Ovis aries: one gene and its partner. The protein of the gene in region 2 binds, or shares a complex with, the protein of the main gene of each other region. Links are inferred from orthologs where the notes say so. Each region holds a gene or a part of one and is shown on either strand. Other genes may lie near its edges.

Region 1 (3,669 bases), on a different chromosome or scaffold from region 2:
ACGGAGGAGCCTGGTGGGCTGCCATCTATGGGGTCGCAGAGTCGGACACGACTGAAGCGACTTAACAGCAGCAGCAACAGGATATTCATATAGTCCCAAAGTTTCTCTCCACAAATTATGGATTAACTCCAAAAAGAAATACAGAAACTTCACAGTGGTAAAACCTGACAGGCACAATGTTAACCAAATAATCAAAGCATATATCACCCATAAAGGGACAAAATAACATTATGTGTCTCCTGATGTGATGCACTTCCTCCTGGAACACAACACATTTCTGTAGATTCTTGCCCCAAATGCAAAACTGGAATCTGACATCAAACAAAGCCAAGTTGAGAGAAAGTCTATAACTGGGGTATACTCTTAAAATGTCAACATCATGAAAGACAAAAAAGATGAGGCACTGGTCCAGCTCAAAGGAGCCTAAACAGCCATCCATCCCAACTAAATGCAATCTATGATCCTTAGTTGGATGTAGACCAGGAGACAGAATTCTGTAAAGGAAATTGTTGGGAAAACAGAATGTGAACTGTAAGTTCCATAATAGAATTATATCAAGGTTAAATTTCCTGGTTGTGGTAATTGAAATATGAGTAAGAAAATGTCCTTGTCCCTAGGAAATACACAGTGTGTCAGGGCAGAATAATGGCTCCCAAAGGTGTTCACAAAGTAATAGCCGGAATCTATGAACCACGTTACCTTATATGACAAAGGGGACTTTGCAGATGTGATTAAATTTGGCATTTTTTGTTTGTTTGTTTTGGGGAAATTATACTGGATTATCCAGGTATGCAGGCTTTCCAGGTGGCTCAGTGGTAAAGAATCTGCCTGTCAGTGCAGGAGACGTGGCTTCAATCCCTTGGTCCGGAAGATCACCTAGAGAAAGAAATGGCAACCCACTTCAGTATTCTTTCTTGCCTGGGAAATTCCATGGACAGAGGAACCTGGCAGGTTATAGACCATGGGGTTGTAAAGAGTCAGACGCAATTTAGCAACTAAAATAGCAATAAATCTAGGTAGGCACAATGTAATCACAAGAGTCTTTATAAGAGGGACACAGAAAAGTCAGACAGGGCGGAAGAAGGTGTGGTGATGTCGGCAGAGGGAGAAAAGGTGATGCGATTCAGGACCATGAGCCAAGGAGGGTGGGTGGCCTCTAGAAGCTGGAAAAGGCGAGGAAGGGGATCTTTCCTGGGGCATCCAGGAGGAACCAGCCTTGCTGAAACACTCTGACGTTAACCCTGTAAGATTCATCTTGGATCTCAAACTTCAAAAACTGTAAGATAATAAATGTGTGTTTAAAGTCACTACGTTTGGGGTAGTGGTGAAGGGAGGGGATGGGGATGTGTTGGTGGCTGCTTCTGCCAATCTGTGACTAATGCACCTGAACCAATGCACCCAAGTAAACTACTTTCTACACCCCTTCTCATCAAAGTGTGGTCATTGCATCACCTGGGAGTTGTTGAAATGCAGATTCTCAGGTCCCACCTCAGATTTACAGATTGAGAGTCTGCATTTTAACAGAATCCCCAGGTGATACACAGTTACAGCTCTCCTTTGCCTTAATCCCAGTACAACTACCCTTCCCAGGGGGTGGGATCACCAAGTTTGGAGCAGATCGTTTATCCAGTTTGCCACACTTACTGCAGTGTGGCAGACACTGAGGACCAAACGCTGAAGAGCCTTCCATCTGTCAGTGCTCCCGCTGGCACTTATTATCTCAATCAACATTTAGTGAAGCATCTTGTGCCCAGCACTGCCCCACATAAACTGAAACAAAACATGGGAAATGCTAGCCAAGAACTGTGCGAAACAACTAGCCCAGGGAAGGCTGCAGATGGTGGGGGAGATGAAAAAGGTTGGAAGACTTCCTGGAGGTGGGGGCACCCGGGCTCGCTCTGAAAGTAGTGCCAACTAAAGAATGTCTCCAGCCAGCTGGCTCCACAAGGACTGAGTCATTAGCAGTTGTTAACTGGTCACTAACACAGCCTGAAAAGAGTTCAGGGTGGAAATCAGGAATGAGATACTCCACTTTCTGGGAAAACTGACAGAATAGACCTTCAGACAGAAACTTTCAGGACAAAAATTTACAAACCCAATTTCTTGCATCTTACATACTTAGAAAAGCCATAAAATAATTAAACTGTGTGTGCTTGATAACTAGCAGTAGACTTTTACCTAGATATATGTTTGACTGCAGGTACCCGTTCTCCAAATCTCCTATACGCTGACCTCTGCCCTCACCTCTTCCATGCTGAAGCAGTTTCTCAGAGTTGTCTGAGAGGCTGTCTGCAGGGCTATAATCCTCAGTTAAGTCCCCAAGTAAAACTGAATTTACAGCTCTTAGATGTGCTATCCCCACCCCCAGTGGCCAGGATCCAAGCAGAAGTCACCAGCAGGTGCGAAAGCGCTAGGCTGAGAAAATACCAGGATGTTAGATTGCTACACTCTTTTCTGGCCTTAAGCAGTGCGGGCTTCACCTACCGGTAGCCTTTGCGCACATCCACTCCCGCCCCTGCCCCGCCCCGCCCCGCCCCGTCCCGGTCAGCCTCTGTCCTGGCTCTCTCCGTGTGCACTGCGCTTGCCAGTCTCGCTTGGTCAATTCCCCTTTTTGGCTGGCCCCTCCTCAAAGCCTCTAGATTGCACATCCTGTCTCTGCTCACGTACCCTGGTGCTTCCGGCTCTCCATCCAGCACCCTGTACACCTTGGGCGCAGCCTCCTCTCAGCTGCGCATCCTACCTTCCACTCCTCCAGCTTCTCCTCTCTGCAGCATCTACTCCGCCGCCGCCTCCAACCCTCACCATCGCTCACGCCCCGGCCCGCGCCTCTTCTGACCTCAGCCCAGCGTAGTCAGCTCAGCTCTCAGCACGCACTCTTCTCTCTCGGACCCAGGCAGTCTCCAGCCCAGGGGCGCGCGGGCTCATTGCCTAGCAACGGGACGCTATCTGCAGGTAGGTAGGCGCATGCGTCAGGCGCCAGCCTCTAGAATGCAGGCGCCTTTTGGGAAGAACAGCTTCCGGTGCTGGGCTGGTTTCCAGCCGGCAGAGGCAGCTTTGGCCCTTGGACCCTGCCAGTGGTGCGACAGAGGAATAGCTCAGCGCAGGGAGGCAGCTCTGTGGCTGAGTCCTACTCCTCTTCCTCCTCACTGGTGAGCAGCGCCGCGCCTTTTGGAGGGGCAGGGGAGGCGGGTCTGGAATAGAAAAGCTACCGAAGCTCTCGGAATCCAGGTCGGTAAAATTCGGGGTACCCAGTTAAATTTGAATTTCAGAGACATAAGAAATTACTGTTTAGTACATGTATAGTAGAGTGTATAATACAAAATCGTTTCTTGTTTATCTGAAATTTTAAATTTAACTGGCCACTGTATCCGATCCCTTCCTCTCCCACTCGGCCTGCTTTCTCCCAAGCATGACCGAGGAACCTCTGTTTCTTTGGACAGCTTCGCCAGGCTTCAGTTCAGTTCAGTTCAGTTCAGTCGCTCAGTCGTGTCCGACTCTTTGCGACCCCATGAATTGCAGCACCCCAGGCTTCCCTGTCCATCACCAACTCCTGGAGTTCACTCAGACTCACGTCCATCGAGTCAGTGATGCCATCCAGCCATCTCATCCTCTGTCGTCCCCTTCTCCTCCTGCCCCCAATCCCTCCCAGCATCAGAGTCTTTTCCAATG
Region 2 (3,649 bases):
AAATCATATGGACCTAACAGAGCAGAAGATATTAAGAAGAAGTGGCAAGAATACACAAAAGAACTGTACAAAAAAGATCTTCATGACAAAGATAATCATGATGGTAGGATCACTCATCTAGAGCCAGACATCCTGGAATGTGAAGTCAAGTGGGCCTTAGAAAGCATCACTACGAACAAAGCTAGTGGAGGCGATGTTAATTCCAGTTGAGCTATTTCAAATCCTGAAAGACGATGAAAGATGTGAAAGTGCTGCACTCCACATGCCAGCAAATTTGGATAACTCAGCAGTGGCCACAGGACTGGAAAAGGTCAGTTTTCATTCCAATCCCAAGGAAAGGCAATGCCAAAGAATGCTCAAACTACCACACAATTGCACTCATCTCACACACTAGTCAAGTAATGCTCAAAATTCTCCAAGCCAGACTTCAGCAATACAAGAACCGTGAACTTCCAGATGTTCAGGCTGGTTTTAGAAAAGGCAGAGGAACCAGAGATCAAATTGCCAATGTCTGCTGGATCATCAAAAAGGCAAGAGAGTTCCAGAAAAACACCTATTTCTGTTTTATTGACTATGCCAAAGCCTTTGACTGTGTGGATCACAATACACTGTGGAAAATTCTGAAAGAGATGGAAATACTAGACCACCTGACTTGCCTCTTGAGAAACCTATATGCAGGTCAGGAAGCAACAGTTAGAACTGGACATAAAACAACAGACTGGTTCCAAATAGGAAAAGGAGTACGTCAAGGCTGTATATTGTCATCTTGCTTATTTAACTTATATGCAGAGTACATCATGAGAAACTCTGGGCTGGAAGAAGCCCAAGCTGGAATCAAGATTGCCAGAAGAAATATCAATAACCTCAGATATGCAGATGACACCACCCTTATGGCAAATAGTGAGGAAGAACTAAAAAGCCTCTTGATGAAAGTGAAAGAGGAGTGAAAAAGTTGGCTTAAAGCTCAACATTCAGAAAATGAAGATCATGGCATCTGGTCTCAACACTTCATGGGAAATAGATGGGGAAACAGTGTCAGACTTTATTTTGGGGGGCTCCAAAATCGCTGCAGATGGTGACTGCAGCCATGAAATTAAAAGACGCTTACTCCTTGGAAGGAAAGTTATGACCAACCTAGACAGCACACCAGGCCTCCCTGTCCATCTCATCTCCCGGAGTTCACTCAAACTCACGTCCGTCGAGTCCGTGATGCCATCCAGCCATCTCATCCTCCATCGTCCCCTTCTCCTCCTGCCCCCAATCCCTCCCAGCATCAGAGTCTTTTCCAATGAGTCAACTCTTCGCATGAGGTGGCCAAAGTACTGGAGTTTCACCTTTAGCATCATTCCTTCCAAAGAACACCCAGGGCTGATCTCCTTTAGCATGGACTGGTTGGATCCCCTTGCAGTCCAAGGGACTCTCAAGAGTCTTCTCCAACACCACAGTTCAAAAGCATAAATTATTCGGCACTCAGCTTTCTTCACTAGCATCCGTACATGACCACTGGAAAAACCACAGCGTTGACTAGACAGACCTTTTTTTGGCAAAGTAATGTCTCTGCTTTTCAGTGTGCTATCTAGGTTGGTCATAGCTTTTCTTCCAAGGAGCAAGCATCTTTGAATTTAGGTGTCTGGAATTAGAGTTGAGTCCAGGCAAGATGACTTCAAGACAATGTTTAGGAAATGGAACCATGAGTATCTTTTTCTTCTCTTCTTTACGTTTTTCAGTAGTTTCAGGTTTCTTACTAAATTAAAATAAATACTATTTTCACAATGAAAGAGAATTATTAGAGAAATAACGTGTCAATGTTTTCCTTTTTGGTAAAAGTGGTAATGTTAACATGTGGGAAAGATTAAATCTTTTGTCTTTCAAAAAGGATTCCTTTTGAGAATTCTAACAAAGGCCAAACATATTATTTTGGTAGGGCTGATATTAAAATAACCTTCCCTGATTATCTCTAAGACTCTTCAGATGGGCGGGTGTATCTATAAGGAAGGATCCAGGCTGACAGTTGGCCCTGGATCATCATCCTAAGTCCTCATACTCAACAGTTCTTCCACCTGAATGAGCAATGTTGAGGCATCAAGTATGTGAATAAATGCAAATCTTCTATTCAGAAAATTTAGATATCACGAGAAATAAAAATGATGAACAAAATTCAAGTATATATCTAATTTTATCATTTGATTATATAAATTATACACAAAAACAATGCTGAGCAATTGAAGGATGCAATGACTGAAAATGTACTTAAAATGTTTTTTAAGAGTCAAAACACAGCAAGAAAATAAGCACAGTTGACCCTGGAGCAACAGAGATTTGAACTGTAGGGGTCCACTTACGTGGAGCCTTTTTTCAATAGTAAATACGACAGTACTACACAATTCACAACTGGCTGAACACAAGATGCAGAAATCACAGATACAGAGGAACTGAGGATACGAGTTCCTACTATAAATTATATGCCAGATTTTTTTTTAAGTATTTATTTATTTTGGCTGCACTGGGTCTTAGTTGTTGCACATGGGAGCTCTTAGTATGCCAGACTTTTGACTGTGCAAAGGGTCAGCGCCCCTAAGTCCTACTCTTACTCAAGGGTCAACTGTAATCAAATGTTATACAAAAGGAAGTATCTAAAATGTATATAAAATAGCTTTAAGTGACTTTCTATATATTTCAAAGAATATTTTAATTCTGAAAGCTATAGACAGTATTCTTCAGTATGAATAAAAAGATTTCTTACAAAAGGATCTGCTGGTTTTTGCTTACAAAGTTCTGTGAGTCCTTTAAGCAGAGTTGGCGTTACATACAAATTTAAATAGTCCTTAGCAGCTTGTCCAACTGGAATGGGCTCAACAATCACTGCAAATACAAATGTATTCCCATTAAAGCTAACATAAATGATGAAATATTATAGTCATTAAAAAGGACACATTCAAAGAAATTTTAATGACATGAGAAATACTTAGTTTTTCTTTTTTAAAAAAAGTAAACAGAAATAGATACATAGTGAATAGTTTGTTCAAAAACACAATCACACACACACACAAATAAGACTCATACAAATAGCAAAAAATACATCAATATATTGATAGTGCTCACACACAAGATTCTGATTATGTTTTCAACAATCTCCTTTTTTGCATTTCCATTTCCATTTTTTAACAGTAAATACATAATGGACAATGTTTTGAAAAGCTGAAAGAATATATATAATCTAGATTAATTCTTCACAAAAATTAACTCCTGTCAACAAAATGGAGGCAGTTTGCACAGTGGAAAATCCCATGGACAGAGGAGCGTAGTAGGCTACAGTCCATGGGGTTGCAAAGAGTCAGACATGACGGAGTGACTTGACTTCACTTCACAGATATGAGTGAATAATACATGCTTCTTGCTCTCTTATAAACTATTGAATATACACATAAGTCCTATTTATATGATAGTATATATTAATATTGCGGCTTATCTTTCAATTGTTAAAATAAATTATATAGATTTAAGGAAATTTTAGTCTTTTCAGCTTTCTTTGAACACTATAGGTGACCCAGACTTGCAATACAACAAAAAACATATTTCTACCAGAAACAAAAAGGGTCCCAGTATCTCTATATTCTTGCCATTGATTATAGCTATTCTAGTGGGTAAG

The links. Proteins that work in one complex are often made in the same cells at the same time.
Region 1: the proteins of NME5 (region 2) and DYDC2 are in contact, whole or in part, in a cryo-EM structure (PDB 8X2U), measured with the Mus musculus proteins. The link is inferred for Ovis aries from reciprocal best matches to the Homo sapiens genes NME5 and DYDC2. Residues at the interface, in NP_542368.2 of Mus musculus: Arg140, Ala145, Val146, Ile147, Ile151, Pro152, Ala156, Ala157, Tyr160, Ile161, Tyr164, Val165, Thr168, Leu169, Leu173, Leu176, Cys177, Lys180, Pro181, Asp183, Pro184, Tyr185, Leu186, Leu188, Ala189, Asp190, Leu192, Met193, Asn196, Pro197; in NP_001347537.1 of Mus musculus: Asp2, Tyr5, Leu6, Cys9, Phe10, Gly13, Leu14, Leu18, Val21, Ala22, Arg23, Val24, Arg25, Pro26, Asp28, Pro29, Ile30, Glu31, Leu33, Ala34, His35, Leu37, Tyr38, Tyr40, Arg41.

What each region holds. Positions count from the first base shown.
Region 1 is NC_056078.1:34,795,759-34,799,427, reverse strand, and holds the start of DYDC2 (DPY30 domain-containing protein 2), read right to left. Parts: upstream 2,949-3,669; 5' UTR 2,803-2,948; exon of another isoform or gene 2,668-2,802; intron 877-2,667; 5' UTR 700-876; intron 1-699.
Region 2 is NC_056058.1:47,221,604-47,225,252, forward strand, and holds part of NME5 (nucleoside diphosphate kinase homolog 5), read right to left. Parts: intron 2,863-3,649; coding exon 2,744-2,862; intron 1-2,743. UniProt on the Homo sapiens protein: Functions as part of axonemal radial spoke complexes that play an important part in the motility of sperm and cilia. Does not seem to have nucleoside diphosphate kinase (NDPK) activity.